4 linked regions of the Notamacropus eugenii genome follow. The protein of the gene in region 1 purifies or fractionates together with the protein of each later gene. This does not show direct contact. Links are inferred from orthologs where the notes say so. Each region holds a gene or a part of one and is shown in the gene's direction. Other genes may lie near its edges. The genes, in order: DDX21, C1QBP, DKC1 and CDK9.

What was found.
Region 2: the proteins of DDX21 (region 1) and C1QBP purify together in Homo sapiens (co-immunoprecipitation; 3 studies listed by BioGRID and IntAct, with this or other methods). This does not show direct contact. The link is inferred for Notamacropus eugenii from reciprocal best matches to the Homo sapiens genes DDX21 and C1QBP.
Region 3: the proteins of DDX21 (region 1) and DKC1 purify together in Homo sapiens (co-immunoprecipitation; 3 studies listed by BioGRID and IntAct, with this or other methods). This does not show direct contact. The link is inferred for Notamacropus eugenii from reciprocal best matches to the Homo sapiens genes DDX21 and DKC1.
Region 4: the proteins of DDX21 (region 1) and CDK9 purify together in Homo sapiens (affinity purification with mass spectrometry; 3 studies listed by BioGRID and IntAct, with this or other methods). This does not show direct contact. The link is inferred for Notamacropus eugenii from reciprocal best matches to the Homo sapiens genes DDX21 and CDK9.

Annotation. Positions count from the first base shown.
Region 1 is NC_092872.1:260,118,611-260,126,240, reverse strand, and holds the start of DDX21 (nucleolar RNA helicase 2), read left to right. Parts: upstream 1-4,622; 5' UTR 4,623-4,651; coding exon 4,652-4,738; intron 4,739-7,065; coding exon 7,066-7,578; intron 7,579-7,630.
Region 2 is NC_092877.1:389,110,079-389,117,429, forward strand, and holds the start of C1QBP (complement component 1 Q subcomponent-binding protein, mitochondrial), read left to right. Parts: upstream 1-4,342; 5' UTR 4,343-4,644; coding exon 4,645-4,873; intron 4,874-7,351. Other genes in the region: ATP-dependent RNA helicase DHX33, read left to right, coding at 1,055-1,363.
Region 3 is NC_092879.1:10,721,332-10,728,185, forward strand, and holds the start of DKC1 (H/ACA ribonucleoprotein complex subunit DKC1), read left to right. Parts: upstream 1-3,846; 5' UTR 3,847-3,986; coding exon 3,987-4,002; intron 4,003-4,589; coding exon 4,590-4,657; intron 4,658-5,106; coding exon 5,107-5,193; intron 5,194-6,056; coding exon 6,057-6,148; intron 6,149-6,854.
Region 4 is NC_092872.1:479,054,108-479,060,979, forward strand, and holds the start of CDK9 (cyclin-dependent kinase 9), read left to right. Parts: upstream 1-3,861; 5' UTR 3,862-4,315; exon of another isoform or gene 4,316-4,946; intron 4,947-5,231; 5' UTR 5,232-5,446; coding exon 5,447-5,934; intron 5,935-6,854; coding exon 6,855-6,872. UniProt on the Homo sapiens protein: Protein kinase involved in the regulation of transcription.

The DNA of each region.
Region 1 (7,630 bases):
TTGTAGTTATAAAGGGACCAAGTCCTTTGGTATATCTGTGCTCTCAGTGGTAGGCATTTCTTCCAGGAAGGCAGATGATAACTCATCCTCCATGCAATTCGATAAACTGTGTGCCAGAACACTTAACAATTATTTGATTCTCACACCAACTTTACGTGCTATATTATCGCTATTTTGTAGATGAGGAAGTAGGCAGATTAAGTGACTTTCCAGGGTCACAGCTAGTAAGTGTCTAAGGTCAAACTCGAAATCGGGTCATTGATTCTAAGCTGGTGCTATATGCACTGTACCACCTACCTGCAGTACCTGCCCTCAGTGAGTTTACAATCTGATGGAAGACAATACAGAAAGAAGCTGGAAGGGGTGGGTGCCACCAGGCTGTCCTCAGTGTAGGGCATCACGTTCAGTAGAGTTCAAGCCAAGCAGAGCTGCAGGTGGAAATGGGAGAGTGAACCCTGTTCCTTCTCTCCTTGTGTGAGTTGTCTGTATCCTCCACACTGAAGGGCACCAATCCAGGATTCACCAGCTGTCCTCTCTTCGTCTTGTAAAATGACCAGCCCACTTTTCATGCATTCATCTCTCCCAGACTCTTAGGCCCCTAGAGTATTTCATGGGTTATTTTTAACTCTTCTGCCTGGAACTGGCATATTGGTAAAACTCTAGGATCGTAGTACAGTTGAGTCTCCATAGCCTTGTGTGGATTGTTGGGTATGATTCATTATCTGATAAACAAATGCAACAGAAGAGCCTGTCCCATTCAGAGTCAAGGTGGCCTTTGTGTAGATACAGTACTCACAATTTCCTTTTGCCCTGAAAGTGCCACAGAGGTGAACTGTGAAGTCGTGGTTAGCCATTGCTCCTTCAGTGCCTGGGCACTGTGCTCAGGTCAAGGAAATAAATGAAGAGATTAGGTGGAAGACGCTATTATATGCTTTTAAAGGAGCTTAAGAGTTCAGTAGGGGATAAACAGGCAAAAAGAGCTGTGACATAAAATAGAGTTGTGAGATATCAGAGCTGTAATTTTCTAGTCTTCAGTTTGTAGGTGTAAAAATTCTCTCAAAGACAAATTACTTGTGTAAGGGCAAACAGCCAGTTACTGTTCGAACAAGAATGTCATGAAAAAATGGAAGGAAAGGCAAGATACTAAAAAGTATTTGAGGGCTGGGAAGATGGAAAGACTGCCGGACTGGGACGTGAAAGATGGAAAGAATTTCCAGGAGTCAAAGTGGGTCCACGGAGAGGAGAGAGGGATGGATTCTCGGGGTAAGCTGATAATAGTAATAATAAATAAGTAATAATAAAAAATAACAACTTGCAATAGTAATAATATTAGTATTGTAATAGTAAGATTGGCAACTCACTTTCTTCATTATAATCTTGTGAGAAAAGCAAAGTTATTTCACCAATTTTGAAAACAAACCGACTTTCAGAGGTTAATGACTCATCCAAGCATCATTTTTTTATTTTTGCAGCAGCAGTGTTTGAGTATTGTTTTCTTTTGGCAAAGCAGGAGATGCCATTGTAAGTAAAACTCAAGTCACAGGGGAAATATTTTCTTGGGTTGCAGGGGGTGTGAAGTTACCCAAATCAAAAGAATATAAATAAATCTAGGTGTGGGAGGATATTAAACATGTAAATTTATACATATATATGATAAATATACAGAGAGAGATAACAGCTAGGTATGTGTATATGCTACAACCAAAATATGAGAAGAATTTTCCCAAATGAATATCCAACATTGGTACATTATTACTCCTGGTTTTCCTCATTTCTTATCCCCTTCTTGTCATAAGGTGCAAACTTTCCATAAAGACAACATCTTTGTGACAGGTATGTGCTCTGTAGACAAAAATCTACAGTCAGTATATGATAAGCAAAAGAAACTTCCACATTCTTTCTGGGGACTCTTGCTCTTTCCAAGAAAACATTAATGCCTGTGATTAGCAGGGCTGGGTAAGTTTTTAAAGTTAAGTTTTCCTTCCTGCTAAGCTCTTACCCAGGTCTCCTAGCATCAAGAAAATTTTGTCCTTCTACACCAACACTCCACTGGGAACCCAATCAGTATCTGAAAGCATAGGAAAACCTTTGAACATTCAAATGTTAGGGGTAATAGAATCATTTTCTTAATGAGTGACTGAGGTAAATCATATCACCTCACCTACAAAAAGAGGGTAGGTTCTATCACATGACCTCTAAAGAACTTTTTCAGTTCTAATTGAGGAGGCATTCAGTTAGAGTTCAGAAGAGATCAGTTAGAGATTTGGGGGGGGTGTCATTTACATAGATGTAACAGCTCATTTTTGTTGTGCAGGGTGGGTCCTACGCATATCTTACTTTTACATATGAGAAATAGATTTTTGAATGGTTATGTGGCTTAGGGTTTATGAGGAAGTCTTAACTTGGGGTTCACCCCCCAAAAGGTCCATGAACGTGGATGAGAAAAAATTAGCCTGCTGGTGGGTCTGACTCAATCAAGTCTCTCCTCATTTCAATGCATCCTCCAGTCTGGTCACCAAACTAATTTTACTAAAAGCACACCCCCTACTTAGTAAACCCCAGTGGCTTTTAGTCATCTCCAGAAGCCAGTGCAAAATGCTCTAGTTGGCATTCAAAGCCCTTCATAACCTAGCCCCCTCCTATATTTCCAGACATGTATTCTTGTATTCACACACATGATGTGTGTGTTTGGGACCAGTGACACTGACTTCCTGTCTTTTCAGGAATAAGAGACTCCTTCTCTTGGTTCCTGCTGTTTTCTTTGGCTGTCCCCCATACTTGGAGTGCTCTCCCTCCTCCACTCTGACTGCTGACCTCTGTGGTTTCCTTCAAGTCTCAACTAAAATCCCATCTTCTACAAGAAACCATCCCCAGCCCCTTTTAATCCTGGTGCCTTCCCTCTCTTGGTTCCTGTTTGTCCTGTGTATAGCTCGCTTTGTACATATGTGTTTGCTTGTTTCCCCCATCAGATTTTAAGCTCCTCCATAGCAGCGACTGTTGCCTCTTTTTCTACCCTCAGTGCTTACTTAGCACAAGCACAGTATCTGGCACATAGTATGTGCTTAATAAATATTAATTGTCTGATTGATTGGAAGAGCCACTGCTATTGTTCCAGGGGTACCAGACACAAAGATATGGAATAGACAGTTCTTAAAGTTAGAGCAGAAAGGGACCTTAGAGATGGTCTAATCTAGCTGATTCAACAATCCTAAAAGCACCTGCTCTTCAGGTTAGCACTCTGGGGCTATGAGAATAATATATGGGATGTAATCTAGGAGTTTACCTCCACTGGGGGAATGGCTATTTCAAATTAGGAGTAAAAAGGCATAGGGGGAGACCCGGAACATCTGAGAAGAGAGACAGCTAACAACTGGTTTTTGAGGAAGAGTGGGTCAACTTTTATTGCTGTTTGAAAATAAAACTGCTCCAAGGTGGAGGTGGGGATGGAGTATAATAGTTTGTGTCCCCTCTGCTGTCCCATCAGGCTGAAGCTTGATTATGGCATCATGGAGTGAGATAGAAAGGACTTTCAAAGTCATCTCATGCAGTCCCCTGGAGGAAACTGAGATTCCAGTGGGTGAGAGTTACTAAGTGGCACGGCCATGATTTGAACCTGGGTCTCTCCACCAAAATGAAGGCCTGAAATGTCTGGTAAGGAGCTTGTAACTTATCCCAGAGGTAGGTAATAGGAGTGGGCATGATAGAGTGCTGGATCCCGATCTTCCTGGGTTCAAATCTGAATGACTAGCTGTGTGACTCCGGCCAAGTCACGGCCTCAGTTTCCTCATCTGCGAAATGAGCTGGAGAAGGAAATGGCAAAGGCTCCAGTATCTCTGCTAAGAAAACCGGGTGAGACACGACTGAGCAACAATGGGGGGGGGGGGGGGTTTGTGGATAGCGATGTGTCCTCGTTAACCCTGGGTTTGGCGTCGGAAGGACAGGAGGGCGGCACGGGGCCACACGCACATTCGTGTCCCCTTCAGCCTCGCCAGCCCCCCAGAGCAGCGGCAGGGAAGCTCGGGGGGCTCACCTCGTCCGAGCCCAGCCTCTCGGGGCTCTCCCCGCCACGCGCGCCGCTCGGCCTCAGTCTCCTCTCCTATAAAGTGGGGAGCTGGACCAGTCCCCGGGGTCCCCTTCCCCTGCGGACCGCACGCGACTTCAGGGAGTGACCTGGGTGGTCCAGACACCCCGGCCTCCTTCCCCGGGGCAGCACCGTGCTCCCGCAGCGGCCCCCGCCCCCAGGCCCCACCCCTCCGCTAGCTCCAGCCCTGGGCGGAGCCTAAACGGCCCCTGGGTATCTAATGCGCCCGCGGTTTGCACCGTGTTTTCGAGTCCTGTTTTTTAGGCGTCTATTGGCCGCTGGAAAGACCGGGCCGGGGGAGAGGGTCGAGGGGGCCGACGCTGACCATACCCCGTCCCCGGACCGTAAGAGCTGAGGAGAGGACTGGGCAGAACCCAGGGCTCCCGCGCGAGCGCCGATCCCGGCTCCTCCTCTGGCACTTCCGGAGGCCCGGAGCCCTCACGTGGTCGCCGGGAGTGCGCGCCTGCTTCCTGCTTCCTGCTTCCGGCCTCTGCGGAAGTGACGTTGCCGGCTCTCTGCTTCCTTTCCACGCGGTTGTCGGTTGTGGAGTGAGCTCGCGGCCAGAGGATTATGCCCGGTAAGCTTCTGTTAGAGGCCGAAGTCGAGTCGGAGGCGTCCATGGAGGCGACGGAGCAGACGCGGAAGCACAAACAAAAGGTTCGGGCGGGGGCTTTGAGGTTCGGACTGGGGCAGGGGGAGGGAGGTATGGGAGAGCCTCCTGGCCCCGGCTCCACGTGCAGCCCTGGCCGGGCTCGGCGCTCCGGGGCTCCTGATGCCTCTGAACCTCACTTTATCCATAGCACCCACCCCCCAACTGCGCTTTGCACGTGAGGACTGTGAGGTCCGGGGAGGCGAGGGGGCCTAAGATCCCGGATCACAGGGTCACGGGTGGGCCGTGGCCCAGTGGAGGAAACTGTGCCTAAGCGGTCTCCGGTGGCGGCGGGGGGCCGGGGGTGTGGGGTGAGTGAGGCCCCCGCGGGCCAAAGCGCCGGCTGTTATCGCTGTTCTTGTTAAAATTCCCCTCCCCAGCCGGGCGGAGGACCCCGGACCCCAGCCCCTAACCCCCTCTGGGCGATTCGGGCCGGACCCGACACCCAGTCCCTGCCTGCACGTGCTAGGTCTGCCCGGGGTGAGAGGATGCGCTCGTCATCGTGCCGGCTTGGAGCCGCTGCCCAATGGGCGGCCGTCCTAGGGCCTGGGGTGGGGTCTAGGGAGGGGCTGAGAGGCGGGCTCCCCTCTGCTGCCCCAGCGAGCTTGCTGTGCCCCGGCAGCCAACCAGGCCCACAGCGTTTATTATGGACTTGTGTATGTATGCCGGGAGAAAGGGGAAAGACTTATGCCTAATTATCAATACATAGAGCACTTACTAAGCCTTCTTATGCTCCAGACATTGTACTGTGCGCTGGGGATACAAATATAGGAAAATAAAGAGGTCCCTTCAGAGATTTTAATTGTAATGGGAAAGACCACAGATAAAGGGGAGCTGGGAACTTTGTTTAGGAACTGCTGGATTTCCCTTAGAAGGTGAGTTAAGTAAAGACATTGTGTTATACCCGCTTGAAATAATGGCATGACTTTTTTGGCCTGCAGATGTGCTCAGAGATCACAATTATTGTGTAAATGATTGTCCATTTCTTATTATAGAATTTTAACTTCTGTGAAATAACATTCGCTTAATACAATGTTTCAAGTTACTTGGGGTTAGGACACGTGGTGTGCCATTGACATCCCAGGAACAGTGACTAGTACTGAAAGGATAGCATGAGCTAGGGGTAGAATATGTTACAGAAAGCTTCACATCTACAATTAGACTGTTAGAAATTTAGGACCCGTGTTGGATCCATTTTTCTGCATAATTTATGAACTGCCAAGGATAAGGAAAGTTTGATTTCTTCTAATAATTTAGAATTCTGTGGTTTTGCTCTAGTCAAGAGTACACAGCATTTTCTGTACATTACCTGGTTTACCCCTCAGGTATCCAGGTAAAGTAGTTTGGGGGGAGGTGGGAGGTATTATATACCTCTTTTGGTATAAAACAATGTTGTGGCATCGAATTGTCACCATTGAAACCATCTCTGTCAAGATCAGTTACCAGTGTCAATGGCTTTTCTTCCTCCTAAACTCAACATTTGTGGTGTATCTTTGAGCAGCTAAGTTCACTGTCCTCTGGGACATTATCACTCAGAAACTAAAACAGATAAAAGGGACAGTCTTGATTTACCTGCAGCTCTTGACTGAAATATAATCTCCAAATCGCAACAAGGTGGTAGAAAAATGGGACTGATTGATAGATTTTGTTTCATTTGCCAGCATTCTCCTGAATTGAGTCTGGTAAAGAATAGTGAAATGCTCTGGGTGGGCTTTCTTTCCCATTCTTTTCTTTATTGTCCCTCAAAACCGTAGCTAGAAAAAGGTTGGACAAGAGGTGGTAAAGTGGGTAGAGCGCTGGGCCTGGATTTAGGAAGACTTGAGCTCAAATGTGACCTCAGATACTTATTAGCTGTGTGGTCCTAGTTAAGTCACATCACCCTATTTGCTTCAGTTTCCTCAACTGTAAAACGAACTGAAGAAGGAAATGACAAGCCACTCTAGGATCTTTGCCAGGAAAACCCCAAATGGGGTCCCAGAGAGTCAGACATGACTGAAATGATCAAATAGCAAAAAAGAATTAGTAAAGGAGGGGAGGGCAGCATGGTTCAGCAGGGATGTCCCTGAGTTTGGAGTTTGGGTACCAGGCTGAATTTAAATTTTGTGGCTGTGGGGAAGTGACATAACTTCTCCCATCTTCATTTTCCTCATTTGTAAAATTTGAAAGTTGAAATGGATCCAGATGGTTTCTAGGATTTCAATGAGATGGCCAGATGCAGTTAATTTTCTTTGCTATGTTTAGTAGTTGTGAATAAAGAAATGAAGATATTTGTTAGTTTAAAAAAAAGTAGATTTTGGCCCTAACGTGTGTCTCTTTGAATTATCTTTGAATTTAGCAGAAAGATAAAAAAGAAAAATCAAAAAATGAGAAACCAGAAAAGAAGGTCAAGGTAGAGACTGAGGAACTTTATTCCCCTAAGCCCAAGAAGATGAAAAGGGAGGCGCTCCCAGAAGAAGTCATTTCTCCCAAGTCCAAAAAGGCCAAGAAGAAAGAGCACCTCCTAGAGGAAGAGGAAGAGGAAGATGCTTCCCCTAAACCCAAGAAGTTCAGAAAGAACAAGGAGGGGTCTGTGGAGGAGCCCAAAAGGGTGGAGGAGCCCAAAAGGCTGAAGGAGAAGGAGGATGCCTCTAGCAGTGAGGTCTGCTCTAAGACCAAAAAGAGCAAAGAGCTTTCTGAGAAACTCAAGAAAGCCAAGAAGAAGGAGGGACCAATAAATGGAGACACAGGAGAGAAAAAGTCAAAGTTGCAGAAGGCATCAGTGGGGAATGGACTGCCCCACTCCAAGAGGGCATCTGATTCTGATTCAGAGGAGTCATCCAGTGAAGACAGTGACAGTGAGGCTGAGCAGGTGAGGGGCATTCTCACAAAGCAGGACAGTGGAGGTTGTTGGTTGGTTTGTT
Region 2 (7,351 bases), on another chromosome or scaffold:
GACCCAGGAGGCAGCATGACCTTCCTAGGCTGGATGTCAGGAGGAAACTCCTTGAAAAATCCCATGGGATGGAAGAAAGGCAGTCCAGCAAGATTAGCGAAGGGGTAGTAGCAGCAGACTCCCCTTCGGAACAGGCCATCCTCTTCTCTCACACCCTCTGTTAGACTGTGACCTGAAAGAGAAAGGTCAGGCAGATTTCAGGGTGGCTTCAGCCAAATGTAAGCAAGGGAGAGGCTGGCGCCACCCCCACCCCATTCTGCATCATCTTTTAGAGGTCATTGACCACGGTCTGCCCTCATGTTATCAGCCTGAGGGTGCTTAGAATTCATGGAGAGCAGCTGGGGTCCCTTACAGTCATGTGTATCCTCTGACCTTCCTCTGACCCTCCAGGGGTGAAGGAAGGTAGGGGTGGGGATTACCAGTTAACCAGACCTGACTCCTTGAGCCTCCTCCCACTCACTGGAGGCTACTTCCTATGTGGAGTTGGAAGAAGGCTTGCCCTTGTCCACATTCCCACTCCTCCACAGGCCAGGCTCATGGCAGAGCCTTGGCATTCCAGATGCAGGGCTGGCAGAGCTCAGGCAGGCGTCCACCACCTCTAGCACCTGCCTCCTCCTTCCGTCCATGTCTGCAGCCTCAGCGCATTGAGGGCGAGCTCTTTAGACCACTTTTCCTTCTCAGCAGGATCGGTTCTTTTGGCATCTTGAGAATTTCAGTCTTGGTAGTTTCCCAGATGGACATTCTCTAGGGAATTTTAGTTGGTTCTTGGCTGAAATGATTAGGGTCTCTACCCCTCACCTGCACTCCCAGTAGGGCCTGTCTCCTATTAGCACAATGTGGGGAGGAACGTCTCCTGCTCCCCAGGGTCACTCCCTGGGATAGCACCTTGCTCTTTAATGGATCATTTGGATGACAGATGCTGGCATGAGGAGGAAAAGGACCTAAGTTTCCCCTCTGTGCACCAGCCAGCTGGGGCTCAGCATCTTGGCCTGAACCTCAGTCGGATGGGGAGAATTAGGTCATCAAGAGTCATCTTTCTCCTCTTCTTCGACAGATGTCGATGCCAATCGAATCTTCACGGGCAGACACGGGGAACATTCGTCGATGCCTGGCGCATGGCCTTTTCATGAACACTGCCGAGCTTCAGTCTGATGGGACCTATGTAACCGTGGATACCCGCCAACCAGTATCCATCCACCCGTCCTCTGTGCTGTTCCATTGCAAACCAGCCTGCGTCACCTACAATGAGCTGCTGTCCACCAATAAGTGCTACATGAGGGACCTCTGCGTGGTCGATACAGACTGGCTCTATGATGCTGCGCCTGAGTACTTCCGCAGAAAGATGCGGGCCGCCCGCAGCTAAGCCTCGTGGCTCAGGCCGACGTTTGGCCAGGATGGGAGAGGCAACTGGCGGCCTCAGAGCTTGGGGCAGAAAGGGAAGGTCAGAATTCCATGCCTGTTATGGGATGGCTTTGGAAACTGCTGCAAAGGCTTGAGCTGTGCTCATTACTGGCTAGTGGGCAGGAATCTGCCACGGTTGGCTAGTTTTTATCCATATACAGTTTTTCAATTGAAAATGCAATAAATTGACTTTTGTAAAATTTTTAGGAAGGAGATGTTGCCGCTGCATGGCCTCATTCATTTAGCTTGGGCTCCTCTGGGGGCCTTGCCAAAGTTGGTGCCAAGAGAGGTGTGAGGTGATGGGGGTGGGGTGGGTGGAGAGGCCTTGGGGTCATGGCTCCAAGCCCCTCCCTGCCAGGAGCTGTGGAGCCTGAGGAAATTCTTCTGTCTGCTCATTTCTGGCTGCTGGTGGTAACAGGTGGCAAAGTGCTTTATATCTACCCACCTTCTCATCTCATTTAAGCCTGGTCTAGGTTCTGTCATTGTTCCCATTTCTGTGCTGTGGAAATGGAGGCTGGCGGAGTTGATGTGACTTTGGCAGGGATTGAGGCAGGTCTTGGACTCAGCATTTCCTCAACCACAGTCCAAAACACTTTCCATGCCACCACCCAGCTTCTGCTGCTAAGTGATTCTTACACAGGTGAGCTTTCGAATATTTGGAGGCAGCAGCCATACCCTAGCAGACCTGGGTGCACACCCCTGCTTTCACCAGGCCTTTCCCCAGTCTCCTGGGTCCCTGGCAGCTCTGTATAATTGGAGTGAAGTACTCACCCATACGTAGCCCTGTGCCAGGCTTCAGGACAAAGCTCATTGTGTGAGAGCCCTGTGCCCATGCAGGAGAAGCTGCAGAATTCAGATCAAACCAGGTCATGCTTTCATGGATCTCAGAGGGCGGTTGTTCATTTGCACATTTTCTTGTCTCTGCATTAGCTCTTAGAGATCTTCCCAGCCTTCCCTACCAGTCACCTGCATCATTTCTTACAGTACACAGGACTGTCCAAGTAGCCAGTTTGGGGGGTGTCTTTGGACTTCAAATGTTCCCCACTTCCGTCCATCCTCCCCTCAGTCACTAAAATGGTTTTCCTAAAGCTCAGTGCAGGCTCTCTGCCCCCATAACCCCCTCCCCCTCCAATAGACTCCAGGGGCTCCCTAGTGCTTCTAGGATCAAACACAAAGAACCCTACATTATCTGCCCTTCCCCCTCTTCCAGTCTTATTATACCTTACTTCCCAAATTGGACTTTTGGATTCAGTGATCCCAGCTTCCTGTCTGTTTCACTAACAAGGCCCTCCATATGTCTGGCATTTTCTCTGGCTACCCTCCACCCCCACGTCTGGAATGTTCTGTCTCTTGCCTTCCTTTGAGCCCCAGCTAGAATCCCCTTTTCTACAAGAAGCCTTTCTGGGCCATCCTTAATCTTTGTGCCTTTCCATTACTGATTATCTCAATCACCACATGTATTATATATTATGGTGTGTGGGTGTGTGTGTAAAATTAGGGCAGCTAAGTGGCACAGTGGATTAGAAGTATCTGGCCCCAGACACTAGCTATATGACCCTGCACAATTGCCTCAGTTTTCTCATCTGTAAAATGAGCTGGAGAAGGAAATGGCAAACCTTTCCAGTATGTTTGCCAAGAAGATCCCACCTTCCTTCCCTTGCCCATCGAGAAAGTACAAAGCAAACAAAAAGAACCGTTACCAATAGGTCAAGCAAGCCAGTCTGTGCTGACCATGTCTAAAAACTGTCCATATGTTGAGGTTCAGGGGTGCTGGGGACCCTGAAATACCGACATGCCAGGTCCTGCCCAAATGAATTCAACTCAAGCTTTCTTAAAGCCAAAGAAAAAGTTTATTAAAGATTTGCCATACTGGGTTGACTCAAGGAGCCTAAGCTTTTGTAACTCTCCCAGATAGAATCTCAGACAGAGTCTGAGGTGGATTGAATCTGAGCACCTTCAAGGAATCGGGATGGAATTTAAATACAGAAAAAGACTGAGAAGCATCCAGGTGTTGGCAGGGATGGTCTTGGTAGATCAAACCTAGGAGAGAATCCTGATGGGAGTGGTCAGAAGCCTGGGGAATGGGGTTTTAATAGGATCAAGGGTGGGGAGTGCAACAGAGACCAGTGCACAGCGATAATGAAAAGCCCAAGGGCTTCCTGAGACTGCTGGAACAAATGGGAAGATTAGATTTGAATAAGAAAGGCCAGATTAAGTGGGAACATTCAAGAAGGCTCCCAGAGTCTGAACCCATCACATTTACACTGAGCCCAGCATTAGTGTCTCCAGTGGTGGGCAGAGACTTTCCTCCCGAGGCCTCTGGAATTGTGAGAGCTTCGGTAGTGAGAATTTTCAGGGTCCTTGCTAGCTACGGATAATGCAGGTACACTGTCATTCATTTAAGCAGAATGGGATACCTCCAATCCGTGTGGGATGGAGGTGTAGGTCTCACAACTGCCGAGATGGACACGAGTGTATGTAGGATCTCTCCTTCCGAGGTACCAATCCGGGCAGGCTGGATACAATCTAAGCTCAGTCCCAGGTAGCTGGGATTCTAGGTACCCCAGGCTAGGCGCTCCCGGTCCCTTCCTTAGCCTGAAGCGCAGGCAGTTCCCACAAGTGCATGTTGGATACTTTGTAACCTTAGCCTGAAGCGCAGGCATTTCCGGCTCGTACATATTGGATATTATGTACACATGCAAGTTGGATACAATGTAACCTTAACCTGCAGCGAAGTCAGTTCGGTCACATGCAAGTTAGATACAACGTAACCTGGGCGCTCGCGGTCAGTGACAGAGAATGGGGATGCCTCTGGAGGAAACTGGCCTGAAATGGAGCCCCGCCTCCTTCGGAGGAGGGTCGGACAAAAGGATGGTGAAAACAATGAGGTTAAACAGGAAGGCAGAAAACAGGCGGGGAAAGTGCGCTCACGTCTGGGCGTGTCCAGAGAATACGCGGTCTCGAGCCATTCGGGGAAACTCCGGGCCCTCCTCGCTCTAGAGTCGGGTGACTCCAGTAGTGGCGTCGCAACCAGTCAATCATCGTGCAGTCCTTGAGTACCTTCACTGGTGCTATCACCATCTCCCGACGAGGGGCGCTGTGACCCTCCGAGGTGGCGCACGAACTTCCGGAACGGGACGATCTTGGGCCTTTCCGGCCAGCGCATTTCCCGGCGTGCTCCGCACTCTCTGCTGTCTTTCCGGTCTCCTACGGCGCTCCCACGCCTCTCCGCGTGTCTCGGTCATGGCCCCGCTGCTGCTACCGCTGCTGCTGCGCCCTGCGGCCCGGGCCCTGCGTCCCGCCGCCCTCCCGACGCTGCGCCCCCCCATGGCCGCCGCCACCCGCGCCTTCGGAGGCCTCCTGGGGGGAGGAATCGCCGGCAGGCCTGGGCCCGCGCGCCCCCGACTCCTGCAGCCGCTCCGGAATGCCCCTGGCCTATGCTCGTGCACGTGCGGGGGGCTCCACACCGAGGGTGAGCGCGCGGCCGGGACCTGGGGAGAGCGGGGGAGGGGCTCCCACGCTGACCCCATGGGGTGCGCACGTGGATCCGCACACCTTCCCAAAGGCGGTCAAGTCGCTTTCGGGGCGCCGATTATTCGGATTGGCGAGGGCTGGGTTTGGAATTGGGGCTCCTGCCCGGGTAGTTACGGAGGGAGCAGGCCCCACGTGGCTCTGACCCTAACCCCCTGACCTATTTTCAAGGTGACCCTTGGTGTGGGGAGTGCTTGTAGCTGCCTCGCCTTCCCACTGCCAGGCCATCCTGGCTCAGTCTGCCCTTCTGTCCTCTCCCGATCCGACACTCTCTCTGTCAAGACTCATCTGGCTTCTGGCTTCTGTCGACTTTGCTAAGTCTGTGGTTTCCAACTCTAACCACGCTGAATGATCATCAGAGCCCAGGACGATCCACAGCGCATTGGGGTGCCCAGTCCAGCGGGCAATTCTGCCTTTGGAATTGGCGCCCCAAGAGTTTACCCACATGCTGGCAGCTCCCACAGACAATGGATGCTGCTACTGCCTTTAACAGGCGGGGAGGGTAGGTGTGGTGGCAGTGGAGCTAAGGCTGCTTGGAGAGGGGATTAAGAGAAATAAGTGTTGAGAAAAAACCACTTCATAGGCGGAGAGTGGGTTGGTGGCCATATTTGCCTAATGAATACTAGGACCCCGTGGGGCAGCTAGGTGGTGCAGTGGATAGAGCATCAGTGCAGGAGTCAGGAGGACCTGAGTTCAAATCTCACCTCAGACACTTGACACTCACTAGCTGTGTGACCTTGGGCAAGTCACTTAACCCCAATTTGCCTCCTCCTGGGTCATCTCCAGTCATCCTGAGGAATATCAGGTCACTGGATTCAGATGGGTCTGGAGGAGAAGTGAGGCTGGTGACCTGCACAGCCCTCCCTCACTCAAAACAAAGTCAAGAGCAAGTCGTGTCGTTATTTCTCTGCTGGCGTGGTCTTCTTCCACAATGAAGGATGATCACACCCTAGGACCCCATACATTATATTTTTATTTTGGTTTTTGTTTCATTTGTTACATTGGTCAAGTTGTTTAGTCTCTGCCCACAGAGATATTTCTGTAGAGGATTAGAGATTCTTTCAGTTCAGAGCTACTGGATTAATGTGAGATTTTGTGCTTGGCCCCAGGGTAGTTGATGGCTATGGCAGAGAGGGAATAGGGTAGGAAGAACATTATCGCAAACCTCCTATGTGCTAGGCACTGTGCACCTTATAAATATTCTCTCACTCTTGAGCCTCTTGAGGGCCTTGGGAGGTAAAGGCTATTCCCCATTTTTCCAGAAGTGGAAGGTGGCATCCCTCGTGGGTGGTCTTCAAGCAGAAGCTGGTGCCATCAAGTTACTGGGCTGCCTTGTGATACTCTGCACCCTCCCCATAGCATCTCTGTTCTCAGGGGAACCCACTGGACCTAAGATTTCATCAGTGTAGAAGATGAAGGAATTAGCGGCACCATTGCATGTGGCACCTCATCCATAACTTAGCAGGGGCAAAATGATTAGGGCTGGTCTCTCTAGATTGCCCCTTATTTAGACACTGGGACATCTGACCCAAAATTGCCCAACAAAACAAATAGACCATCGGACTCTAACCCTAAATGGACCAGGTTCCCCTTAGTGTGCCTGTTTGGGTAGGGTGGACAGAGGGAGATTTGTCCCAGGTCCTCTGTTTAATCAGGGCAGACTTGGCAGAGACGGAATTTTCAGGGTGTCTTAAATGAGGCTTCTGCCTAAATGTAATTGCTGGGCCTTGACTGTGGCCCCCTGACCTCTCTGGATCTGGCTTTCCTCTACAATGAGTGTTTTGGCTTCAGTTGCCCCTGCCTTCTGTCCCCTCTGAGCAGCACCATCTCTGTGGCAAGTGAGCCACAGCATCAGGATCCAGTGAGTCACTCTTTGCTCAGTCCACAACTTAAGGTTGTGGAATGGGGCCTAGTGCTACCATAAGTGCACACAACTGTCCAGGGGTTGTGTTAACACAAACTACTCAGGAAAGATTGGCAAATTCACTGTGAACACTGGAAGTGGTCTAGCAGGTGCTGAGGGTCAGCTGTCATCTCCAAACAGATTTCACCTCGGTGGGAGACCAAGAGTGGACATTATAGATGCTGTGTCTCCCCCGAACAAAGTCAGAGGGAAGTGGATGGAGGATGTCGTATTTCACAACTGTGGAGATAACTTGGCAGTCTCAAATTGAGAAAAATATGAATGATTTCCCCAGTCCAGGTAGCAAGATTCCTAAGAAAAGCTAGACCGACAACAGTATCAGTGCACTTAACGTCTCCTGCTTCTGTCAGCTGGCACCCATTGGACAAAAGTCCAGAGAAGTTGATCATTTCCTCCTGCAGTGTGACTTGCCAAAATATTAGTACATGAATCCCTTTATCTGCACTGGACTCTTTGGGTCTCTTTCCCATGCCTCCCTTTTGTCCCATGGTTTAG
Region 3 (6,854 bases), on another chromosome or scaffold:
GCCACTCCCTCTCTTTAATCCACGATATCTGTTTATTCACTGGCTCCTTTCTTACCTCCCAGGAGCATAGCCAGATCTCCCCTATTCTTTAAGACAAAACCAAACCAAACCAAACTTTCATTTGGTCCTACTATCCCCTCCAGGAATCTTTTCTCTTTCACAGCCAAACTCTTAGAAAAAGTGGTCTTCAGTGACTACCTCCACATCTTTACCTCCCACTCATTTTTCTACCTTTTCCAATCTGGCTTCTATTATCACCCCTGCACAGAAACTGTTCTCTTGGCTTCATCAACAATCTCTTAGTTACTATATCCAAGGGCCTTCTCTTAGGCCTCATCCTTTTTCCTGTCTCTGGACTAGCCCTCTCCTCCTGAATATTCTCTCTGCCCTGGGTTTTTGTGATACAGACCTCTAGTCTCCTCACATTCCTTTGCTGGAATCTGATCTATATGTAGATGTGCACTAGATCTCCATCCTGGGCCCCTCTTCTCTTATATCAGCTAGCTATACTCTCAGTGATTTCATCAGCTCCCATGGGTCCAACTATCATCTCTGTAGCTGACTCCCAAATCTACACATTCAGCTCTCTTTCATTTTCCAAGAAATAGGCCCATATTACCAATTGCTTGTTACATCTTATTGGACCATAAGCATATCAAACATGTCCAGAAAAGAACTCATTTCTCCCCTTCAGCTTACCATTCCTCCTAACATCTTTATTTCTCTATTATCCTTTCAGAACCCAGGTTCATAACCTCAAAGGCATCCTCAACCCTTCAACAATCAACTGATCAATCAAAGAACATTTAGCAAGCTCTTCCTACTATGGTGCTAAGCACTAGGGATTTAAAAAGAGACAAAAGACAGGGCAGAGAAAGAAAAGGCTGGAGCCATGGGAACTGGATTAGTTGGGGAATGGAAGACGAAGTGGACTTGTAAGATCTCTCTCTCTCACACTCTCTCTCTCTCTCTCTCTCACACACACACTCTCTCTCTCTCTCTCTCTCTCTCTCTCTCTCTCTCTCTCTCTCTCTCTTTCTCTCTCTCTCTCTCTCTCTCTCTCTCTCTCATACACGCATATACACACACACACCAGAACAGTTTCCTTGTTATACTGTGAAAATGTATAGAGTTCAAGCATGGGAGAAGAAGATACAGTTTCAGGGATTCAGTTCTAAGAACTAACAGTTCCAAGAGGGTACCCTGAAGCTTTAATAATAATAATAATAATAATAATAATAATAATAATAATAATAATAATAATAAGATGTAGGGCTTGCTTGAGTTCTTGGCACATGTAATTGTTTCTGCTAAATAATAATTGTTTCTCTTTTACCCAGGAACCCTGAAGGTCTTCTCCCAGTTTGATTTTTTTTTTTTAATTTTTGATGATCAAGGGCCATCCCTTGAGCAGCTACTTAAAGAAGCCTATTCATTGAATGGGTGTATCTTACTCAAAGTGAGAATGCTATAGGAACCTTAGCCTGAAAGGGCCAGGGTCTCCCAGTGCATTCTGGGCCATCTCCAGTCATCCTGATGACTATCAGGCCACTGGACCCAGATGGCTCAGGAGAAGAAAGTGAGGTTGGTGACCTTGCACAACCCTCTCTCACTCAAATCAAAGTCAACTGCAAGTCATGTCATCATCTTGATGTCATGGTCCTCTTTGAGAACGAAGGACAAACACCACCACCACCACCACCACCACAACAACAGTAGCAGGTGCTAGGGCTTTGTAAATATTTGCTGAAATGATTTGAGGGCTTTGCTTGAAGGTGATACATACAGGAAATGTTACTCTGAAGTCAATCCAAAGAAGAATGAGCAACATTTTGAATACTAAGTTGCTGTTCTCTGTAGAAGCATGGGAGGCCAGCCACATGGTATGGTGGAAAGCCTGGAGGGCTTAGAATCAGGAAACCTGATACTTTAACTTGCTAGTGTGTGAGAGTCACACTGTTTCTCTGTAAAATGGAGTTAGATAATACTTGTTTATTCTTGGAGTGATAAAGGTGAGGGAGTTCTCATTTAACAGAGAGAAGGCTGGCCTTTGAACAGTGAAGTCTAGAATTCAGATGTTTGGTTCCTTATGCCAGGTGTAAGTCCCAAAATTCCCAGTGCTTCTGAAGAGGGATACCATGTAAGTGCCATGTAACCTGTCTCAGAAGGGACAGTCTCAGAAGTTATTGCTTCTGCTGGAGGATTTCTGGGGTCAAAACTAAGGAGGAATTAAATTGATTGGTCTTGGCTAAAAGTTTCTTACCTAGAAAGCACCTTCACCCACCCACCCACTCATGACCTTAGTGATCTTTGTCTCTTTACTCCTGTACCTTTGCCCTTCTTGTCAGTTAATTTCTATACCCCCATCAACTTTTTCCTTACAATGTATATTCATTTAATTCTAAGTGTCATTAATACTGTGTCTAGCCTCCCTACCAGGCTCTGTCCTGGGCCTGCTTCTCTTTTCTCTCTATACTGTCTCTTGAAGACTTGATCATCTCTACATAGTTGCCTCCAAAATCCATATATCTAGATCTCATATCTCCCCTGAATTTCAGTGGTGTATTTCCAACTCCCTAATAGATATCTCCCCATTTCCGTTCATTGTCTTTCCATTTAATTAAGTTCCAAATTTTATAGTTATCTTTGATTCTTCTAGATCTCTCTCATACCCTCTTCCCCTCAATTTCTAAGCTGTGATGAAGTCCTGTCAATTCTAGCTTCCCCTCATCTCTTGCGTTTGTCTCCTTTGCTTCACTCACATGCCCCAAACCCGAGTCCAGGCCCTCACCTCTTTCTTGAACCACATGCCACAACAGTCTTTTAGCTGGTCTCTTCTCACTCAAATCCATCTTTCCAACAACTCCCTGAATAATCTTCCTGAGACCCATCATACAGCAGTTCCAAATTCTTCAATGCCTTGCTGTTGCCTCTAGGCCAAAATTCAAACCCCTTGGTGTGGCTTTTAAGGTCCTCCATAATCTGGCTCCAAGCTATCTTTTCTAGTCTTTCCCATTATTCCCATTTTAGCTCAACTGTAGTCTTGGTTGTTTCCTATAATGTACCACCTCCCTGACTTCATCATTCAGGCCATACATATGTATACCCCATGCCTGAACTGTAACAGCTTCATCTGGGGGACATCAAGGCACAGTTCAAGTGCCGCATCCTCTGTGGCTCTTTCTTTGATTTTCCCCCACCTCAACGGAAAGTGCTCTCTCTCCCCCTCCAATTCTTTTGTATTTCGTCATTTGTTTCCTTTCGGAATTTGGGAGAAACTAAGATCTTGAGAATAAGCCAGATCTGGGGGTTTGCCTTTATATCCCCAACACAAGCATATAGCAAGGGCCTTAAAAAAGGCGAATGCCAACCAATTTGGGGGAAGGGGTGGGTTGCAGCTGTGATCAGCAGCATCTGTGGGCTCCGTGGGGTCCTCGAGAGCGGCCAGGACGGGGAGGGGCACGGCTGTCACACGGCGCTGCCCACCCAGCCTGGAGGTCTGCAACCAGAGGCTGGCACGGGAAAGGGCCGGATGCCAGGCCTTCCGGGCGTGGGCGCAGCTCATAAGAATGAGGGCCGAGTGGCGAGGCCGGTTATTTTACAGCTGAGGAAAGTGAGGCGCAGAGGCACGACGCGACTAGGCCGGGGTCACAACGGCGGACCAGGTTAGGCCGGGCAGGGCCGGGGCGGTTCGCGCTTCCGCTCGCCCCCCGCCCATCCGCTCTCCCGGGCGCGGCGCCCCTCGCCCCGCGGGCCCGCCTCTGCTCTGGCAGCCAATCAGACACACGAAGACCGCTACGGGGCACCGCCCTCAGCCTCTGGTCAGCCAACGGGCGCCCTGGGACGCTACGCGTCACTCTGACGTTAAAGGAGGCCGGCTCTGGGACCGCACTGCCTCACGGGACGGAAGCGGGCTGCCTTCAGTCGTTCCCTTCTGCGCTGGGCTAGAGCACGCGGGCCGGAGGCCCCTGGTTGTGGCCACCAACATGGCGGACGGCGAAGGTAAGAAAGGGCCTCCGCTCCTTTGCGGCCTCCCGGATCTGTACGTCGCGGCGTCCGGCGAGAGCGGCTCACGCAGGGCCCAGCGCGCGGGGGGTGCGGGGCCTGAGCGCCGTTGGCCCGGGCAGGGCCCGAACCTGGCGCGCGGTCCCCGCCTGCGTGCGGCGGCTCGGCTCGGCTCGACCCGGGGCGCTCGGGGAGGGCGGCTCGGCTCGGCTCGGCTCGGCCCGGCCCGGCCCGGGGCGCTCCCGGAGGGTGGCTCGACTCGATCCGGGGCGCTCCCGGAGGGCGGCTCGGCCCGGGCGCTTTAACCGTTATTCCTAGTGGGCGGGCGCGTGCGGGCCCCCGAGGTTGGGGTAGGGGAGGCACAGCATGTCCTGGCAGCCCCCGGAAGCTGCCCCTTAGCTGCGGGTGGTGCCGCGGACGGGGGTTGCTGCCGATGCCCGTGCCCCTGCCCAACCTGTGAACGGGCCACGTGGTGACCCTGGGGAAGGAAGCACGTGTGGGAGTCCTGGAGAAGCAGCCTGATCACGGGCCTGGGCACCCACGAGCCCCAACTTCACAGACATCTTTTGGTTTTTTTTTTTAAGTTGTCATTGTATCCAAGAAGCACAAGAAAAAAAAGGAGCGCAGAGTGTTGGGAGAAGACGATGTCGCTGTGAGTACACGATGCTTTTTCCTTGCCAGTATTGGTAATTCCCCATTTCTTCTTGGGAACTGTAGGATTGGGCCATGTTTAGAAAAGAAAGAACCCGGATGGTGTGCTCTTTTGAGCTAGGAGAGCACCCACATTTGTATTCTGGGAGTCACTCCTCTAGCCTGCTCTCAGGATTCCAAGACAGTATTCACCAAGTACTGTTTGCCACATGCACTCTGCAGTCCTTTCTGCCTTTTCTCTGGAGTATTGGAACACAACTGGCCAGTGTTTTTCATATTTTGTTTCTTTGTGTTTCTGCTTGGTTCTGTGTACCGTTTTTTGGGAGCCACAATCATCCGAAAGGGTTAGGATCAGTTGTTAGGCTTTGTATTTTCTGGCCTGCCTGCACTTAGAGGAAATGCCTGTAATCTATGAAATTGAGGTCATTGGACTTTTTCATCCTGCCTTAGGATCTACAACATGAAGGGGAATTCTTCATCAAACCTGAATCTAAAGTAATTCAGTTGGACACATCTCAGTGGCCCTTACTGCTAAAGGTAAGGAATATGTAAACGTTATACATCAAATAATTGCCTTGTGATTTTATATTGGTTGGGGTTTAATTGATTAAATCAGTTTTGGTGCACAATCTCAACTAGTTCATTTTGTAAACTGAGTTCTGTATACCTGTAAATTCTAGTGCATGGTAAATGTGGTTTATGCATTTTACAAAAAAAGTCCTGTTTATAGATCTGTTGCCAGTTTTTCGTGTCTTCTATAAAATTATACAGGCAGATTTTTGTTTTGTTATTTAAACAAAAACTTGAAGATGTGTATTGTCTAATTGAATTGTTCTTTATGCTATAAGACTTCTCACCTATTAGCTAAAGAAGCATTTTGTTCCTTGTGCTGAGTTGTTCAGAAAGCCTGCCCAAAGAGGCAGTATCCATATCTGTATCCTCAGTGGGGGGCAGCATAATTTTGACAATATACAGTCTCCCTTCCCCCCCATCAGAATCACATAGCACAAGTTGTATCTGTTATTTAAAGCATTTCATTTAAATACTCTGATTCCTTATATTTCATTTTGGGAATCAGTACTGTAGGTAAGAATATTAGAATTTTGAAACTTAAATATTTAGTAAATCCCACAGTGCTCAAGCAGAAATATAAAGTTCTCAAACCAAAAGAAGTCCATTCGAGAGGCCCATGCCTTCTGCTATCTGCAGTGTGATAGCTCAGAAAAATGATTTTGGTGAATTGGTTCCTGGTGTAGATTGGTGGTTTTGTTGATTCATTGGATTTTCCATGTGTGGGACCAGTTGGTCTTAACTCTGGGTCTCTTAGAAAAGGGTAAGTCAAAAAATTGAGAATTTGCTTGCTAATTGAGTTTGATTTGTGTCCTGTCATCACTTTTTAGAACTTCGATAAACTAAATGTAAGGACAACCCACTATACTCCCCTTCCTTCTGGATCTAACCCTCTCAAGAGAGAAATTACAGACTATATCAGGTAAGCTGTTTTGCCAAGTAGTGACTTTTCATTACCTTGGGTTCAAACCTTCTGCCCACTTATATTAAAACTCTTAAAATAAGTAACATATTGGAAGTAATATAATCCTTCCTGTTTGGGGGGTGTGGGGGGGTTTGCTTTAGTACTGTCTGGGGCAATTTGCAGATAAAATCCTATTATATGGCAAAGGGCATGACAAGGCTTTATAACAGAAGTATGTCCATGCAGACTGCCTATGACTTGACACCTGAACTAATATGGTGGGCAAGGAATTCTGCTTAACCAGCAGGTACGACATTTTTTCTCCAATCCCTGATTGGGGGTCAGTTGCTCAGTAAATGTACCTGTTTATCTGCTGTTACTACTTCAGGAAGAGAGGGAGAGAGGGAGCTGTGTGCAGTGAGAGCTTCATGACTCTTGTGCTTCTCACTGAGCAGCAATTACCCTGTGGTGATTCTCATCTCTGTGCACCTGAAACATTGCCAAACATACCTGTTTACTCTACACAATACCCTTAACACAGCAGGGAGGGGGAGGGGGAGGACTAACGCTTGTCTGACATTAGGCTCATAGCCCTTGGACTCCTGGCCACACAGCACCTAGGAAAGTGCTCTCCAAATGACAAAACAAGTTGTAATTTGGTCAAGTGGAGTTTGTTATCCTGAGATTTTCCTTGTATCGCCAAAGCAGTGGCAAACAAGCACCC
Region 4 (6,872 bases), about 220 Mb from region 1:
GACATTGGATCACAAGATTTGGACCTAAGAGAGAATTCAGGGACTATCCATTACAATATCCATAGACCACTGTAGAAATAAGAACTGGTAACATAACCTTTGGCCCATCCCTGACCCATCCCTCCCCCCCTTCCCATTCCCAGTCCCCAACACTAGGCTCCCTAGAAAGTTCTTGAGTCTTGGGGTTGATTCAAGAGGGTAATTTCTTTCTTTGGTTTGTTAGGCCCACCTAGAGTTAGTCTAAGAAAATCTCTAAATATGCTTATTTTTGGCTACTGTCTAGGTTTCCCTAAATATGGGCAATGCGGCCCTAGTTCCAGTACAGGCACTTAAGATATAGATAGATAGAGAGATAGATAGATAAGATAGATAGATAGATGATGGATAGATATACACTTATATATTTATACATGGATATATATACACATACATATGTGTAGATACATACACACATGTATATGTGTATGTATACACAAACACACACACATATAATAGCAATATATAGCAATAATCGCTAACATTTATAGCACCTACTATGTATTATACTAAGGTATCTATTAAGGTATTAAATGAAGCACTTTATAAATATTATCTCATTTGATTGATAGATGACTAAAACCTCAGAAAATGTTAGAAAACACAAAGGCCTCCTAGGAACCTATAAACAGAGAAATACATAAAGAATTCTCATAGCCCATCAACTACCCTCAGAAGGGACCTGACCTTGGAATCACCATTAAGGTTACCCTTTAACCTTCTTGAGGGCCCATAGCCTTCCCAGAGGGGCACAGAGTCCTTCCCAGAATCATAGTGTTACTCTGTGGTTTGAAGGCAAGCACAGTTTGGGTCAACCCCCTTCCCATTGGACCTCCAAGTAGGAGAGCGCTCAGGAACTTTATGAGTGGTCTTCTTTTTTCTTCCTAGGTATGTAGGTGGTCTGATCTCTAAATTCTCAACCTTGGGAACTTTCGAACCTAGAGTTTTCTACAAGGTAAGCCCTACAGCAGGTCTTGCCCAGAAAACCTCCCTTCTCAGGCCATAAGGCTAGATTTCAGTATTACACTGCTTAGGGTACACATAACACAACGCATTTAACTCATCTATGCAGGATATTGGGATTCATAAACACTGTCCATGGACCACTCTCTTGAGTAATACGGACAAGCACATGACTGCATTTGCCACGTCCTTCTGCAGGAAATCTCTTAGTGCCCCATTTTTGGCCATCTTTTGAGTGGGGAAAGTAGTTACTCTCAGGATGTCTCAAGATTCAGACCACTTTCAGACTAGCACACACAACTCCCAAATGCCTCTGCTTCAGGATGCCTTTCCTTGTCGCTTAGGGGAAGAGTCACATGAACACAAGGCTTCTCTTCCCTCAAGGACCTGCTCTGCCCTATTCCATGCTGGTCTGTCTTCTGAACAGGGGAAGGCAAAAAGCCAAAAGACGGCAAAATCGTGTCTGCTCACACCCTAAAAAGTCCATCCTCTTGAATCCTACCTTGTATTTCCTTGTGATTTCTCACCTCTCCTCAATTTATTTGTCTTCTCTGTTTAGGCTCTTCCAAGCTCCACAGAGGAAATGGCAATGATGTTTTGTGGAAAGGATGGTAAATCTGGAGTTTTCCCTGGACCTAGGTTTGAACTCTGACTCTGTCAACCTGGAGGGGTGTGGCCTTGAGACAGTCACTCCACCTGAGCTTCTGTAAAACAAATGAAGGGGTAGTACTAAATGATTCCTAATGCCCCTTCCAGCTCTACATCTATGATCCTTCTCTATTATCTTTCTCCTACCACTTAAGAGATCTTCTCTGGATATATAGTTCTGCACCTACTGACACCTTGTCATGCGTCTTGCCAGGACAACGCTTTGACACAGCCATTCTTGGAGTATCTTTAGACACAGCAAGCACAGGGTATCTAGAGCACCCTTGCACCACTCCCTAGGGGCTTGAGTTCCACACACATTTTTGATGGAAGAAAATTCTACTCTTCTAATTCTGAGATTTTTAGCAACTTATTTTGTGACTAGTTAAGTCCCATATATTAGAGTGAAGGTAGAAAGCCTTTGGTGGACAATAGGATACAGGGTACAATTTACAGGTTTTATCTACTCCAGTCTCCACATCACCAACTATCCAATGCACATCTCCAGCTGGATATCCTGTAAGGCATCTCAAACTTGACATATCCAAAACAAAACTGTCTTTCCTCCAAAATCCTCCCCTCTTCCTTTGTTTTTGTTGAGGGCATCACTATTCTTTCCATTAGCTGGGTTCTCCTATTCAATCGTCTTTCACTCCTTGTTCTCCTTTATCCTCACTTCCCTCCTCCCCGCCCCATATGCAAGCAAATTGGTAAGTCTTGTCTAGTCCACCTCTGTGACATCTCTCAAATCCATGGCATTCTCTCCATACATTTGCCTTCATCTTCCTTTAAGCCTCTATCACTTTTCCCTTGGCTTATTGCAATAGCCTCTGAATCCCCATATCCAGCCTCCCTTCCATTCCCCATAAACTACCAAACTGATATTATTAAAACATAGGTCTGTGTCATTCCCTTCCTCAAGACATTCCAGTGATTCCTCAATGCTCCTGTTATAAAGTACAAATGCCTCTACTTACCTTTTAAAGCACAGTTTTCCTTCCAGGCTTATTAGACCTCACCCTCCTTCACACACTGAAGCATTTAGCAAAACCAATTTGCTTCCAATTTTCCATCCACAATATTTCATCTCCTGCTTCTGTGTCTGTCCAGGTGGTCCCCTATGCCTGGAATGCCCTCTCTCCTCACTCATTCTTCATAGAATCCCTAGCTCTTTTCAAAGCTCAGCTCAACTGCCACCTCCTACAGGAAGCCCACTGACCCTCCACCCCCACCCCCAGGTGCTAGTGCCCTCTACCTAGGAATGATTTTGCATCTATTTTGTATTTAAGTTTCTATTTATATGTTTTCTGCTCCCCTTAAAAGTGTAAGTTCTTGGAAGGTGAGTCTTTCATTTTTATCTGTGCCCCCACTCTATCCTTTCCCAGCGCCTAGAACATAGTAAGTACTTAATAAATGCTCCTTGAATTGAATTTCATTGCCTCTGTAGGATGTGCCAGGTTCTGCTCTCCAAGTAGGAGAGAAGCTGCCAGCAAATAAAAAGGGGGGGGGCAAAGAAACAGGAAAGTTCTAGAGGTGTTCCCCAGGCATAGTGGGGAAACCAGTCCTCTTGGAGAATTCATGGAGGGTAGCGGAGGGTTGGAGAGATGGGGTGAAGCAATATTGGAGGCAAGGTTGGAGAGGTATGGCAGAGAGCACTAGGCTAAGGACTTGGGATTTAATGCTGGAAGCAGTTGTGGAAGCCATTTTGTGTTCTCCAACAGGGAAATGACATAGTTTCAAAGAGGTTATTCTAATAGCCTTTGTAAGAACAGGACAGAGTGAGAATAGAGAGGAAGGCCAGGAAGGAGATTGTTGTAATAATCTAGGTGAAAAGCAAAGATGGCTAGGGATCAGGAAGCTTGAGTTCCTTGCTAATCTCCTTGACTCTTTCTGAAAGGCCAGGAGAGCAGAATGACAGCCCCAGATCAGGGTGCGGAGAGGGAATGCCCGAGCTGGTGGGAGTAGGAGATTAGGGAGGGAAGAAGGAATCAAAAGGCTACTTCAAAGGAGACTGGGCATGCTTTGATGACCAGACACGCCTGGGTTCCAGGCTTAGTGTCTTCCCCTACTAACTGCACGAGCATAGGCAAGCCCCTTTGCTCCTGAGACCTTTCCTCACCTGCAAAGTGGGGGTTTAGTGCATGCACCACTGACTTCACGGAGTGGTGGGAAGCTGTTTGTAGACAAACGTGAGCTATTGTTTCTTGTAATTCATGATCAGAAGCAGTAGGAAGAACAAGTGTAGACAGTTTATGGAAGGGCTCCCAGGGGAGTCACCTCGGGTGAGGGATCAAGGTCTTGGCCAGCGGAGGGCACACACCGTCCCCTGACACGGGAGACTTGGTTTACACTGTGTGGTGGAGGTGGCTGAGGTACTGAGCAGGCGTTTCGGCTCCAGCCCTCCCTCCCGGCTCTCCGGCCAGGGCCGAGTTGGTGGCTGAGCCAGCCAGTGCCCCGGAGGGAGCTTTCCCAGCAGGAGGTGCCCCCCACAGCGGCGCACACGTGGGGAAAGCGCAGGTCTCCGCGGCATTCATTGTTGCTAATGCCAACCGTCCCCAGCCTAGGTCCGGCCCGAGGAGCTCGTCCCCCCGAACGATGTGACCTGGACGGCCAAGTCTGACGGCTGAGTCCGTTTGGAAGGACAGTGAGGAGGTCAGTTTTGGACATGGTGAGTTTGCGAAGTGAACGCCCTGCCCTGGGGGAAACTGAGGCGGCCCAGGCAGAGCGTGTCTCCCTCCGCTCCCCATGCACCCAGAGAAGGAGGAGGGCGAGCTGGCCCTCGGCTCTCCCGGGTCTTTGAGGCCCGAGGGAAGAAGGAAAGAACCCCCCAACCCCCAGGGCTCTGCCCACCGGCCCCCAACAGGCCTCCCCCGCCGATCCCGCCCTCCTTCCGCTCCTCTGGTCTCGCAGCTCCCCCTGGCGGCGATAGGTTGCCATGTCAACCAAGGGAACCGGGGGGCCGGCGGGGGGAAGGCGGCTCCCGCCCCCCGGCTCGGCCCCCGCTCACTCCGCGCCTCCTCCGTGCGCCTCTCGGCCGTTCTCCCAACTCGGAGCCCGAGGGGTGGGGGGAGCGGGAAGGGAAGGGCTCCGCTTGCTCGCGGTCCCCACGACGGCTAAGACCCGGGGGCGCCCCTGGTGCCCTGGCCTAGGGTGCAGAAAGGGAAACTGAGGCACGGCCGGGCGGCAAACGGGACGCACTGAACCGAGGGCTCGATTGCAGACTCCCAGGCGTCCGGGCTCCTGGGCCCACACGTCACTCTTCGCTTTCCTCTCCCCGGCACTTACGGGGGCGAGGGGAGGTGGGGACGGGACCCCCCAGGGGGGAGGGGCCGCGGCTGGGGCTGGTGACGTACCGTGAACCCCCACTCCCCCCACCCCAGCGGGCGGGTCCGAGTCCGGGTCCGGGGCGGAGTCGCGGCAGGTGCGCCCGCGGAGTAGGCGGGCGAGAACGGGCGGCACCTCCCTACCCCCCCCTTTATAACGCGCCCCCAGCCCCTCCCCTCCAGGCTCCCCTCATCGCCCCCACCCCGTCTCGGTGTCCTCTCCTCCTCCTGTCTCAGTCTCTCCTTCCCTTCCTGCCCCAGCCCGGGCCTGGGAGAGGAGGAGGAGAGGAGCGAGCGTCCCCTGGCCCGGCTCTCGCTCCGGTTCCCGGGGGCGGCTCCCCCCGCCCTCCCCTCCCCGCCCCCAGCCCCGCGGCGGCGGCGGCGTCGGAGAAGCCGGAGCCGAGAAGGAGGAGGAGGAGACTGCGGCTCGCCCGGGATCCGCTCCGGAGCAGCTCCGCGGGCTAGCTGCCGGGCCAATGCAACGGGACGGGCCGCCCCGCGCCCCCGCCCCCATCCCGGGGCCCCGCCTTCCCGGCCCCGGAGGTGTTGGTAGTGTTGGCGGCGGCGGTGGCGGCGTTGGCGGCGGTGGCGGCTCTACAGCCCCAGCAGCCCCCGTCCTCCCGGGAACTACAAGTCCCAGGGGTCCCGGCGGCGGCCGCAGGGCGGAAGAGGCGGGGCCGGCACCTCGGGGCCGGAAGTGGCCCGGGAGGCGGAAGTGGCGGGGCCGAGGAGGGGGCTGGAGCGTGGGGGGCGCGGCGGCGGCGGCGGCGGTAGCAGCGGCGGCGGCGGCGGCGGCGGCAGCTGCAGCGGGACCCGGGCCGGGGGCAGCGGGGGCCGCCAGCGGGGCGGCGGGAGGCACCGGCGAGGCCGCCATGGCCAAGCAGTACGACACGGTGGAATGCCCCTTCTGCGACGAAGTGTCCAAGTACGAGAAGCTGGCCAAGATCGGCCAGGGCACCTTCGGGTGAGCGCCGGGACTGGCCTGGCCGGGCCAGGGAGGGGGGTACCGGGGGCCTCCCGAGGCCTCAGACCGAAAGGGACCCTCAGGGGCCGGCCGGGCCGGGGGGCCGGGGCCGGGACCAGAACGGGACAGCCCGCGGGACGCTGGGGAGGGTTAAGGGCGAGGCCTGAGCGAAGCCGCGGGTCCGAGGCCAGGAGGCCGAGGGGCGACCGCCCGCTGGGAAGGGGACCCGAGTCTGGAAAGTTAACAGCCTGACTCTAGAGCCTGGGGCTGGAGGCGGAGCCCTTGTGGCGGGGATCTCGAGGCTGAGGGGGGCTCTTGGGGCTGGGGCCTCGAGGCTGTCCGACAAAGGGAGGCTGGAGGACTTGAGGTCCGGCCCCAGGGGTGAGTCTGCCGGGAACCCTGGAGGTTAGGGCAGCCTGGCCAGAAGCGCTTTGGAGGTAAGGAGGTTCAGGTCGTAGAGAGATAAGAGGCAGGTAGGGGAAATCCCCAGAGACGGTGAAGGGGCTTCAGTTTGCGGGGGAGGAGCTGAACAAAGGAGGCGCTGGAAAGGTTGGAAAGTAAGGGACTTTCAAGATGGGAGTAGATCTGAAGGTGAATCTTTTTGCAGACAGGCTTTTGTTTGTATTTTTCAATTAAAGTAAGGGTATGGTTTGGTGGCAAGCTGAAGGGCTTGGGATTCAGACCACTAATTTATAATGTGATCTTGGGCACACATACTTTCCTCTCCCCCCCCCATTCAGTTTCCTTATCTGTATAGTGAGAGGTTTTTAGAGTAAATAACTTCCAAGCTTTTTCCAACTCTAGTATTGATGTAAGAACCTGGGATAAAGGGTAATTGCCATTTCTGATAAATTCTGGGAGGAGGGTGCTGGGCAGAAAAAGAGCCTGGGTAAACAAACGTGCCATCACTTGGCTTGCAGTGAAGTCTTCAAGGCCAA